Linked DNA regions of Xenopus tropicalis. The protein of the gene in region 1 purifies or fractionates together with the protein of each later gene. This does not show direct contact. Links are inferred from orthologs where the notes say so. Each region holds a gene or a part of one and is shown on either strand. Other genes may lie near its edges. The genes, in order: hnf1a and pcbd2.

The links.
Region 2: the proteins of hnf1a (region 1) and pcbd2 purify together in Homo sapiens (affinity purification with mass spectrometry; 4 studies listed by BioGRID and IntAct, with this or other methods). This does not show direct contact. The link is inferred for Xenopus tropicalis from reciprocal best matches to the Homo sapiens genes HNF1A and PCBD2.

Annotation. Positions count from the first base shown.
Region 1 is NC_030677.2:151,972,131-151,978,823, forward strand, and holds the start of hnf1a (hepatocyte nuclear factor 1-alpha), read left to right. Parts: upstream 1-2,201; 5' UTR 2,202-2,324; coding exon 2,325-2,644; intron 2,645-6,693. UniProt on the Homo sapiens protein: Transcriptional activator that regulates the tissue specific expression of multiple genes, especially in pancreatic islet cells and in liver. Binds to the inverted palindrome 5'-GTTAATNATTAAC-3'.
Region 2 is NC_030679.2:26,131,883-26,138,562, forward strand, and holds the start of pcbd2 (pterin-4-alpha-carbinolamine dehydratase 2), read right to left. Parts: upstream 3,825-6,680; coding exon 3,741-3,824; intron 3,686-3,740; exon of another isoform or gene 3,540-3,685; coding exon of another isoform or gene 3,456-3,539; intron 255-3,455; coding exon 123-254; intron 1-122.

The DNA.
Region 1 (6,693 bases):
CCAGCCAGGCGCATCCCCTAACCCCCCCCGCAGGGGCCCCCCTAACCCACCTCGTAGGGCCCCCCACCCGACGTCCTCCTCCAAACGCATAAATTTGACGCATCAGGGGAGGAGTGGTCGGGAGGGGTAGCACCAGCTAGGGTCGGGTCTGCTGACAACAGGAAAAATCTGAATAAATCTATGTCTCAACTCTGTGCAACTGCGTACAAACCAGGCACAAATGTACGGAAATCCAGTTTTGTCATGCGAGTGACGTCTGTGCCATATTCTTTAGGCGCAAGTGTGCTGCACCTTTTAACACTGTATGCAAAGGAGCCTTGAAACTAATGTCTGGTCAGAAGCTTCAGGGTTTCTCTGTGTCAATAGGTGCAGCAGCAGCAGTTGGAACAGAAGGCAGAAAGGAATTGTGTTGAGGAGTGGCTCTGAGCACAATTATACAGAAGTGGAAGGAGCACAATTTGATGCAAGTACCTTTAATAAAAGTGGTTTTACATGCAACTAACTGCTGGCAAAATATGGGGACCACAACTGCACTTGCAAGTGTTACACATATCCTATGCTATCCTATGGTGTAATCCAGGCATTTGTCCCTATTACCCCCAAGAGCTGGTGGGCCTCAGGCTGCTCTCATAATTTTCAATTTTGTTTTTCATTTTACAGTGACCCTTGTTGTGATGATGCCATCTAGAGATCTTGGTAGTGACAGCTGAAGCCGCAACTACACAATAAAGTGCTTAGACTTTTTATTTACTTAACACTATCCCTGCCAGGACACCCAGCAGTAGCAGCAAGCAGCAAGCACAGCATGCTACATTTAAACAAAGTGGCTGTGCTTATGCAAGGTGTGAAAAGATTAGTTGTTTTCCATGACGGAAGTGTTTTTTTGAGACAAGTTCATTCCTGGGTGTTGTGGTGCATAGCAGCACATGTACAATATGCCACATGCCTCTTCCCCTGCAGTAGCTTGCTGACTGACCAGGGCACCCAGAAGTCATTGCCAGCTGACGATTTGTAGCAGTAGTTCTCTACTGTATATCTTTAAGTTAAAAATCCACCATTTGTAAGATTGAGGAGATGCAGTACAAGCAGTGTCGGACTGGGGGGTGCAGGGCCCACACACAAGGTACCCCGCGTCCCCTGCACCCCCTGCCACCCGCCAGACATCCTTTCCTGAACGCGAGTAAGTGAAACGTGTCAGGTGAGGACATCGGTGGCCGGGAGAGTGGTAACAGGGATCGGGTCTGACCCAGTCCGATCCTGAGTACAGGAGGAGAGAAATACCATTCTGCTACATTGTATTTTTCACTCTGGCGAGTAATACACTTAAATATTTTAAATCCACAAATGTGGATTCCACATGTGCTTTTATTATATATGAACAGAATACCTGTAAGGTCAGAAAAGCGATGTACCTCCAGTATACTGTAAATCAATAAGACACCGTTGTTATTGTCTCTATGACTTCCCTTGTTAACAGAACTATCTAACTGGGGAAGAGATTAAATTCCTAACTAAAATTATTTTAACCCTTTTAGTGTGTGGATAATCACACATTAATGTTAGAATTACAGTTGTATAATGCCTTTAATTAAACCATTAGGTTAAAAAAAAACAAAACAAAACATAAATAGACCAATATTTAAAAACATCAGGTAGGGTTTTATTAAATAAATTAAAGTAGTCACTTTCCTTCTCTCCTTGGTGCCTTCCTCCCAGTGTCTTTCTTTCGAGTTCCCCTTGCGATATTTTTCTCTATGCATTTATTTATTGTATTTGATAAATGTGTGTTTTTTCAACTTCAACTACTAGGTTACTATGTATGTGTATTCTCCATGTAAGTTCTTTCAGGTTTCAGCCACTCACAGCTTTTTTTCTCGTCTCTGTTGCATTGTCCTTTACCTGGTGGTTTGTGCCACTTTCACCTTCTCATTCTCTTACTTTTACCATATTTCCTAATATTTCTCTCTTAAACTTTTGGAATTTCCTTCTCTCTTCTACCCCTCCTCATATTCCTCTGCACTCCCCCCTCTCTAACTCGTGCACTTTGTGCAGAGTTGGGGTCCAAAGTTCAGTAACTTGCAAAGCACAGGGATAAATATGAACCTTGGAGGATTTACTCTGCTCTGATGTAAACAGAGAGTGACAGGGGTCCCTTATCTATGTCTCAGAGAAGCCTGTCCGGGGGGTGACCACTTGCTGGTTGTGGCTGTACAGTGTGTTTTTTGGGGGGAGGAGGAAACAGAAGGTGGGTAGAGCATGGACTCCCGCCCGCTGATCCGTGTTAGAGCCGCAGGATGGTGAGGCAGTAGAAGGCAACAGCGAGGATGGCGTCTCAGCTCAGTTACCTGCAGCGAGAGCTTCTTCGGGCTCTGTTAGAGTCTGGGGTGACAAAGGAGGCTCTGAAAAAAGCATTGGCTGATGGTGAAGATTACACATATCCCAATGTCCCTTTGGATGATATTAGAAACCTGGACGAGGGAGAGAACTGTGTGCAACTACCTAATGGGTTAGGGGATCCTCAGATATCAGAAGATGAAAGTTCTGATGATGGTGGGGACTTCACACCACCCATTATGAAAGAGTTAGAGAGGCTGAGCCCTGAAGAGGCTGCTCATCAGAAGGCCGTGGTGGAACGTCTACTGCAGTAAGACCTATGTGCCTCTTATGCCTTCTCTATATCACCTAGTCCTACACTTGATATCCTTGGTTCTCTGTCTTGTAATCTTTCACACTATTTTTCACTCCACCTTCCCTTTTTCTATCCATATTCCCAAATCTACACCCACTGTACCAACACTCACCTAAACAAAGCTCATTTCCCATAGAAGTTTATGTATTCCCTCCAAATTGGATGAAAAAAGTCGAAATCTTAAATGCCCCATTGGGATGACTGCAGTTCATAAAGGGGCATACCTATATCTTCAGTTGGAAAATTGGGTAGGAATCCCTGGTGAAACAAGTTTAACACAGACCAATCAATTTCTCCACCAAATCCCTCTAATATTCTCTTGCCAGCTGGGATGAAAGACAGTAAAAGAGACATTTCTTCTTCTCTACCTCAGGCATTGTTTGGTCCATTTTTACAATATTTAGCAATTTTGTTTATCTTGAAATAAGCCCATTGATATTTTCATGGCTTCTTTTATCTACTGCATTTATGTTTTGCTGGATAAAAAATCCAAATCCAGGGTATTGATCCTTAAGTAGTGTAAACATTATTTGCTTTTTAAGGTTCCTTTTTGCTTGCTCTTCTGGTATTGTCCATTTCTTAATGTTATCCCGTTCTTCCACTCTTTAGGGTGCTGTAAGTTCAGTTCCCTGTCTTCAGGTAGTGTGGGTTCTGCCGATCACTTGGGCTCAGGGGGCCCGCACTGGTTACTAATTACCCACATCCTCTATAATTTAAACATTTATAAACCAAATGGCCTCTACCTTTTGTGATGATTAACTTCTAATGGTTAACCCATCCGCTGCAATTATAGAATGTGCTGTACAGCAGGCCCATCAACCATGATAAATTCCATGTCTTGTTACTTTCCACTCCCAATATGCAGCCTAGAGGTTTGGAAACAACTGTAATTGCAATGTATTCTCTTCAGAGGTTTTGTATTAGGACATGCCTTGTCCCGGAAGAAATATTCAGACATGACCTTCTAATGTGCCCATTTTTCTCCTTTTCTTTCCAGACTTCTTTCAAATTCAGCATAGTTCAAAGTTTACATTTTCCTTTTAATGCTTTGCTTTGTAGCCATTGTTCTCTAGCACCATCCAGTCTGACAACTAGCCATGAGCCAGGCAAGGCATCTGTCTGTTTTGGGTCTCCTAGGATGAAAATCATTTCATATGGACTTTTCATTTAAATTGGTTGAGGTGCTATAAATTATCAACCAGCTTCTTGTTTCCTCTGAGTTGATAACTAACTAACTGGGTTACTTATTGTTCACGGAACAAAAGGGAGGTGAAACCGCCCTTAGAAATAACCTCTAAGGATGAGGCGAGGAAACGAGGGGCATCAGATTAAGAAAACATAAAAAATGTAGGGCACCATTGTTCCAACTAGGGTGAATTCTTATAAGACATTTCAGACTGAATAATTCTCATGCACTTTTATTAATTAACAAATGTCTTTTTATTTAAGATACCAGATAATTTTAGGATATACCAAATGTGTCATTGGTTTAACAAGGAGGCCTAGTCAAAGTTAACAAGTGCTGATTCACATTTAATCATAAACTGCCTGCTCGTTCTAATAACATGTTTGTGTAAAGCAATACACTTTTCGCCATGAACCCCTTGATTTTCAACTGGTCCATTTGGTGTTCCCTCCCCCAGGGTTTGTATGAAGCAGTCATTATTTGTTTATGAGTTGGACTTTGTACTGAGATAAGCTGGTATCGGCAACAGAGTGAATCAGCACCTGCTGTGGGGGTTGGGGACTGTGTTTTGTATGAAGGTTTGTGTGTCCATTAGATCCATTATAGTTTCTTATTCTTGCTCAGAATGTTGCACTGATCTAAACATCATGCTGGGCCAAATCTTGATCAGGGGGGTTCAATGATCATCCTGTGGACCCACTGAGACCTGGCTACATCAATGTGCCATTCCAGTCCTTGTCTGACAGGCTTTGCAAACCTTCCTAACTTTTGGTCAGATATCGGTTAGGCAGGCCTTCCCGAAGGCCTCATACACAGACTAATAAGCTGCCAACTTGGACAACATCTACTTAAAGGAGACCTGTAACCCTTAGAAATAATTAAAAACCCTCTTTTATTACTCTTGTATTCTTGTTTCCTTCAGTCTTAGAATTCACAATAAAGAGCAAGCAGGCAGGAGCCATTTTGTGGATACTTATTAACGCAAGCTTTGCATCATTCAAAAATCTGCTGTATGCACTGGAATATGGACTTGATGCACATACACAGCCTGCATAATTACATTATAGTGAGTAGGGGATGTGAGCAGTACAATGATGTCTTAAGTGCATGTTTATGACTGGGTGACAGGTCGCCTTTAAAAAATGCAGTTAAATCACAGGTCCTCATTTACCAGCAGTGGGCAAAAGGAAAATTAGATTAATTTGATATCTTTTTATTTCCAGAAGTACCATTGGGAAAGTTTGCACCTGTTTGTAAATCAAGCACAAATTGCGTTTACAATTTAGGTGGATATAGGTGTTATGATCATGTGCTCTTTCATGCCATTTGCATGCTTATCAGTTTGAGCAAAAGAAATAGCTTGTGCAAAATATACAGTGAACCCTACTTTTAAAAGATAGCAAGGGCAGTGTACCTTCTGTTACAATAAGTGCTAAGGCACAGTAGTAGTAAATGGGCACCTAGAGGTTTGCTTTGAGTAAACAAGACTCCCCCGGGTATTTATTATTCTGTAGGGGAAAAAAACCTCTCTGTCAAACTATAAATTACATTGCTGCAGTTTTGCTATTATTTTCTTTATTGTGCCATATCCAAAAAAGACAATGGCACTGTCACTGGTAAGGTAGGGTATATAGTTAAGCATGAAGACATACAGAGCTACTAGTAACAGCTACTTTTAGTGGCTACAGAAACAGACAATCCTAATCATTTACTAATAATTGTCTATAAGTGTGTTTTAGCAGAGGCGATTTTCAGTATTGTCTATAGCAAGGTATTTAGTAGCCATGACAAGTAGCTCCTACTAAGTAGCTCTGTGTGTCCTAAAATAGGCAGTATAAACACCTGTGCCTACATATAAACTTTATACAACTATATGCATCAAATGCAGGTTCTGCGTTAAAAATGCATAATTTATTTGCCATTTCCTTACTTCATGATAAGATAAATGCATCAGACCTGAACCATTATATATATATATATATATATATATATATATATATATATATATATATATATATATATATATATATATATATATATATATATATATATATATATATATATATATAAAGCAAGACAGTGAGCCGCACACACAGGGACTTAGTTAGAAAACAAAAAATTTTTATTAATGAAAAAAATCCAACGTTTCGAGCACCAACTGTGCTCTTCCTCAGGGGTTTTTCCCTGAGGAAGAGCACGGTGCTCGAAACGTTGGATTTTTTTCATTAATAAAAATTTTTTGTTTTCTAACTAAGTCCCTGTGTGTGCGGCTCACTGTCTTGCTTTATACATGTTTTTTGCAAGCACCCGGGGCAGTTGATTACTATTAGGGTGTGCTCTGTTTTTCTCTGTATATATATATATATATATATATATATATATATATATAAATATAAATATATATATATATAAATATATATATATATATATATATATATATATATATCTTCCCAGTAATTTGTAACATTCCACATTACCTTTCATCTCTACCAAAATGTTTACTTTTCTTCTCTCTAATACACTCCCAAACCTCTATCTCTCTATCCATATAATGGATCTCCATTGCTCTTCTCTCCTTACAGTATATAAAATGTAACTGCTGTACTTCCTTTCTCCATGATACAATTTTATTAAATCAGCTTCTCTCTCCAGCCTCTGGAGTCTATATCTAGGCCTCACCTATTTCAAGAACTACACCAAAATTAGAATTAGGGAATTTCTAAAGAAATACTATTTTTATATACAATATGCATAGATTCTGTGCAGACAAAAGGTTCTAGCCAGAATAACTTGAATGTGCACATTTATGAGGCTGGGC
Region 2 (6,680 bases), on another chromosome or scaffold:
AGATTTCACTACAGATATATATGCAGCACCATTATGTCCAATCAGCAGCAATGAAGCATGTGACTACAAATGGGCTATGGAATGGAGTAATTTATATAGTGTACAGTAGTCTGAAAATTCACCTGGTTAAAGGTTTTGAATTTGTATTCTTTGTAGATGGCATTTTTCTCACTGACTTCAGTCCATCCCAATGCCTGGAGCTCTTGGAGACCATGTGCTTTTTCTTCTGGTGTCAGGAAGTAGGCCTCAGATGTCTGCAGAATCATCAGAAAGGGGAGTTAGTAACCAGTGACATATTGGTGGGGTAAGAAATGTCCAACCCACACAATAAGGAGAAGCCTTGCCCTCCAGGTGGTATCCACTTTATTATTTCAATAAACCCGTCCAGTATGGAGGAACCTTGCTTTCCAGATCTATCTAGTTCGGCGCTTCCCAAACTGTGAGGTTGCCCACTGGGACCCAGCCCTAAGGGCAACTAGGGTGAGATTTAGGCTTAAATGCTTCCTCTTCTTCATCTTTCCAGTTTTCAAATGGGGATCAATGACCCCGGCAGCCAAATAAATATTACTCTGTGAGCAATACTTTATTTCTTATCTTTCTATTCAGTTCCTCCCCCATATTCCAGTTTCACATTCTAACCACTGCCTGGTTGCCAAGGTAAACAAGGTCTTAGCAACCAGATAGTTGCTGAAATTCCAAACTGTAAAGCTTTTGAACAATAAGATAAATAACTGAAGAAAATAAAGCAACCACATACAAAATGAATACAGGTATGGGATGTATTGCAAAGAATATTTGGATTTGGATCTCCATACCTTAAGTCTGCTTAAAAAAATAATCTATATAAATAAACTCAATAGGGCTGTTTTGCCACCAATAAGAATTAATTATATCTTAGTTGGGATCAAGTACAGGTACTGTTTTATTATTACAGAGAAAAGGGAATCATTTAACCATGAAATAAACCCAATAGGGCTGTTCTGCCCCCAATAAGGGGTAATTATATCTTAGTTGGGATTAAGTACAGGTACTGTTTTATTATTACAGAGAAAAGGGAATCATGTAACCATTAAATAAACCCAATAGGGCTGTTCTGCCCCCAATAAGGGGTAATTATATCTTAGTTGGGATTAAGTACAGGAACTGTTTTATTATTACAGAGAAAAGGGAATCATTTAACCATGAAATAAACCCAATAGGGCTGTTCTGCCCCCAATAAGGGGTAATTATATCTTAGTTGGGATCAAGTACAGGTACTGTTTTATTATTACAGAGAAAAGGGAATCATTTAACCATTAAATAAACCCAATTGGGCTGTTCTGCCCCAATAAGGGGTAATTATATCTTAGTTGGGATCAAGTACAGGTACTGTTTTATTATTACAGAGAAAAAGCAAATAGTTTTTTAAAATGTGAATTAGTAAATTATAATGGGGACTATTCTGTATAACGGGATTTCAATTAAAAGATCCCATACCTGTAAATACATTTTCAAACCATCATTTCAGTCAGGGAAGCAGTACCTATGGCCAACGGCCAATACAAATGCAGAACAGAATAAAACAGTTTGCGTGCAGGTGCTGGATAAACAATAAAAATATAAATATTTTTAATTTTAGATGTAACTGGTTTTACTTGTGGCATGCTAATGAGTGCTGAGTGCTTAAAGGGTAAGTTCATCCTTACAAAACTTTGTATTTGCATTTTCCATAAGTACAACAGAAACAATTTTGTTTTTATTGTTTAAATGAAGGAATTTGGATTTCCGCTTCTCATGTTTCCCTGTAGCAGCTCACTAAGCCAGGTCAGTTCCATGTCAACTGTTGTAATTTGTTACATTAATTGCAGCAGCAACTTCAGTCGCTACCGAGCACAGAGCAACTTTTCTCAGTACATTTAAAAACAGTTTAGACACCATGCCTTTCAGTCCTCAAGTTAATGGAAGGAATACAAAAGAAATGAGTTAATAAATCTAAATTTTAAAAAATATCAGTCATAAAAAAATGTCATTATTTGTGGCACGCAAGGGTACATTTTGGGATACATTTGCGAGTATAGCTCCCCTGTTTTCCCAAATGTAAATGCCCACGTCTCTGGGCTGATTTTGCCTTTTTCCTTCATAGAGCACAACTACTTTGTATTCCCCACTGCAACTTTAGGTATAAACACATGGGGCTCATTTATAAACACTGGGCAAATTGGCACCTGGGCATTAACCTATAGCAAGCAACCAGTGTTTAGCTATTTTTTAGCCAGCTGCAAGTAAAATAATGAAGTACAGATCTGATTGGTTGCTATGGGTTACTGCCCTGATACAAATCTGCCCAGTGTTTATAAATAACCCGAATAGTAGGTCTTGTATGATAAAAGTGTAACATTTTCTACCAATAAGCAAGTAGCATTTACCAGTCATTTGTTTAAAAGCAAAAATATTATTGATTGCTATAGGTTACTGAACCAGGACAAAATAAATGTCATTTTTAAAGTTCCCCATGTTGCTTTTAATTTGTCGGTGCTTTGCAATGGATAAATGACTAGACATCCATTATCAAAATCAACCCTGGTTCTTTAAAATCCTGCTTGTCCCTGTAATTACTTTTGACCACTAGATGGCGCCATGACCTTAGAAATAATCATATCCTTAACATAAAATGGGTAAGTTTAGTGAATGCAATACTCCAAAAAAAATCCTTAACAATGTACTTTTTGTAACAAAGTATTATATGTTAAATTTGCAGTGCTAATCAACTTCTAGAATTGCTTTATTTAAAATGTATAGCTCAGTGAAGTCAAGTAAGCTTTAAAGAGCGTGTTCACCTTCAAATTACCTTTTAGTAAATTGTAGATAGAGCTATTCTGAGACAATTTGCATTTCGTCTTTGTCTTTTATTATTTGAGGTTTTTGAATTGTTTAGCTTTTTGTTCAGAAGCTTTCCAGTTTGGAATTTCTGGTTGCTTGGGAGCAATATAACTTAGCAACCAGGCTTAGCCCACATAGTGCAACCTATACAGGCACATTACATGTTATTTTGTAAGGAAATTGGAGCCCTTTTCTGTGAAGTCACTCTCCATTTATAAACCAGTATGAAAAAATGGCAAATAATACACAAACTATCATTATTGAGTCCGTTTCCAAGGAAAAGTGGAGGGTTTGGCGTCTTCTGGACTGAAACAGTTAAAACTCAGAGCAAGCAGAGGCAACATTTGCTTTACAGTAATCTTAACAACCAATCAGAAGGCAGCATGCACCGCTTTATGCTTTAGAGCTAAACCTACGATTGGTTGTTACGGGTTACAGGCTATGTGAGGGAAAAGCGGCATAAACCATTTCGCTAAAAAAAATGGGGGAGTTGTAAGTAGACGGGATGGGAAAGCAGAGGCAACGTAAATGATAATCCAGGTCCCACCATATCCTAAGTGTATAGACCAAGGCAAACATTTGTTCTGATAACTCACCATCTTAGAAAGCGCTCTGCTGCAGGTAGCTGCGACTAATGCGCGACTGCCTCCCAACCTCGATATAAACAGGAAGCTGCCCATGCCTTTTATACCTCCCCGCAATATGACTGACAGCAGTGCCGCTCTGAGCAGCCTAAGCAACTATACCGCAATCACTGAGCTGTCATACAGAAACATGTGGGCCCTGCTATGAGCCTCCCCACGGCATAAACTTACACTTCTTCCTGCTTCCTGCTGGGGAGGAGCTCCAGGCTGTACCATAGCTCTCTTACAGCTCCTTACCTGAGTTCTATGGTATACCCATAAGTAGTTATAATACCCATTGATTAACAGTGGGGGGAAGCTGTAGCCACGCAGTCGTGTCATTGTGGTTTGAAAAATAGATCAGAGCTGGGGAGGCATTGTCACAATTGTGCTGCTGAGTAGTTCTCCAGTGCTATGGAATGGCCAGTATGGGTAGGCAGGGTGTGCAAAGTGATGTCCAGGATGACAATTAGATTTTAAGGCAAATGGGACTTACAACTGGATGACATATGTTTTCTCTTTTGTAACAGTGTGCTGCTGAGTACTTCTCCAATGATTACTGTACAAAATGCCAATCTCCAGAACATAATCTTGTATGTGATCCCTTAACAAGCATTCAAATAACTTGCCCCCCACAGATGTCAGACTTACTGGCCTATGGTAGCCAGGCTGAGATCGTAATCACTTTTTAAATATTGAAGTAACATCAGCTTTCCTCCAATTACAGTTATTTTGCCAAAAATGTTTCTTTTATTTTTTAGTGTCTTTCACTTCTTTTTATCACTCAAATCTGATTATATAGAGTAAGCAATGCCCAGACATCTAATCACTGCAGTGTATTATGGGACCTTTTGTGTTTGACATCATTTTGTATTTGCTATTATGAACAACATTTGTATAGGGAAGAAGCATACCAGTATATATCAGAAATTGCCTTTAAATCATTGGTTGCAGCAGAAATGTAGTTCCAGACCTTTGCTTGCTAGATTCCTTTGGATATCCTGTATGTAGGCTGTACCTACAATAATCCATTAGCTGGAGCTCAATTTGTTTCCTAAGAATTCTTTATAAACTTAATTTTTATGCATTTAGCTCCATGCCAACAATGACACATCATAAGGAAAACCTGAGTTAACTACAAACACGAGGTTGTAATGAGAAGCTCCGGCATGTAGGTAAATAGGATATGGTACTGTAATCCTCTGGCGTGCCTCCCTCTCACAGACACCTTCAGTGTATCGACTGATGGTTTCATGCAAGTTAATTGTCGGGCCCACAGAAAATGACCTTATGTACCCTGGTAATAAAAGTATTAATAGATACATTTTTAGAAGTGACAAGGACATGGGGTATTAGCAATATGTTTATAGTAAGGCAAGTAAAGGGTTGGTTTACCTTTAGGTTAACTTTTAGTATATTATAGAATGGCCCAGTCTTAGCAACTTTGCAATTGGTCTTCATTTTTTATTTTTCATAGTTTTTTAATTTGCCTTCCTATTTAGATTTTTTCCAGTTTTTTAAAGCAGCCAAAAAACAATTTCTTCGTGAATCTACAATTTTATTATTACTTTGTATTACTTATCTTTCTATTTAGGCCTGCTTCTATTTAAACCACTGCTTGGTTGCTATGTTAAGTTGGACCCTAGCAACCAGATAGCTGTCAATATTCCAAACTGGGGAGCTGCTGAACAAAAAGCTAAGAAATTCAAAAACTGCAAATAATAAATGATGAAGACCATTTAGAATCTGTCTCAGAACAGCACTCACAATATCACAGTAACGCAATTAAAATCTGGCACCCAAAGGCCATCACACTTATATTAGGGGTGGGCAAACTACAGCCAGCGGGCCATATCCGGGCCCGGCCGGGGTCAGAAGCAGCCGGAGGATTGAGGGAGCCGCAGGATGCTGCTGGGGGGGAGCCGAAGGATGCTGGGGGTGAGCTGAGGATGTTGGGGTGGGGAGCTGCAGGATGCTGGGGGGAGCTGAGAGGCCCCGTGATTTCTGATGGCAGCCCTTGGCGTAATGCTGGCCCGGCCCGTCTGTAAGTCAGTGTGACCCCTGAGCCAAAATGTTTGCCCACCCCTGGTCAATAAAAAAAAAAAAAAAACTCCAATTAGTTATAAATTTATTTATTTACAAATAAATAATTTACAGACAAGATAAGGTGTCAGACCAAATAGGCAGGAATAAAATAAAAGTTACATTTAAAACTCCAGCGACTGAGATGAGATCCAGACAATGTGCTAAAAACTGCACAGTTTTCAGTCTAGAAGTATAGGGGCATTTTTCTTTATTGTATTTAGCAACTGAAGGGTCCCAGGCATTCTCTAAATTAGAGAATAATGTACATTCATGGTATTAACAAGAATATTTTAAGTAGTACACGGGCAAAAAAGGATTAGAATTCAAGGGCAAATAACACCATAAGTAAATACTTTCTTTCATGTATATTATTTCTGTTTGTCCAGCTGGTGCAAACAGAATATTTCTTGGCAGTAACTGTAACATTTTATGAGAAATGTTAACATCTATAGAAGAGTAGAAAGCAATGAACAGCAACGGTCATTGTATGTGAAGCTATAATGTAAAGACAGTATTTCTAAGTAGTAACTGATTCTGACGCTAACCCTATGCCAAGCAACAACTCAGATGTCACTTTATCGCTGCTAAGACATAGATGGCAAGCTAACAGATGACAACAGGTTTAAGACTGCAAATCCTTTTGCATTATTGATCAGCTCTATATTGTACTTATTTTATGTCTACCTTTCCTGTAAAGCTTATTGCAAAATAAACACCCAGTTCATAAGGCTAATAACATTACCAACATTTTTGGCCCAAAAATGCTCAGACTTTTTTATAGAAAAAGATTCCAGAAAGACATTTTCTGAACTGTTCATATGCCTACATTATGCTTTCAGATGTATTAAACTATTGGTGGACTTGGAGAAACCCCAGAGATCCCTGAATATTCTATGGCGGAGCCACAGGACTTGTCTCCAATCTTGCAACAGATCAGAGTTCCATATCTCCAGTATAAGGGATTTCTAACTTGGAGCCCAACACTAATATGTGCTTGTATCAGCCGTAAGGGGAGCAATTCCTCTCCTGTTTATTTTAGCCAAGAATGTTTATTAAAAACATATATTTTATATAGCAAAATGTTTATTTAAATGATAGATGCATCAATATGCT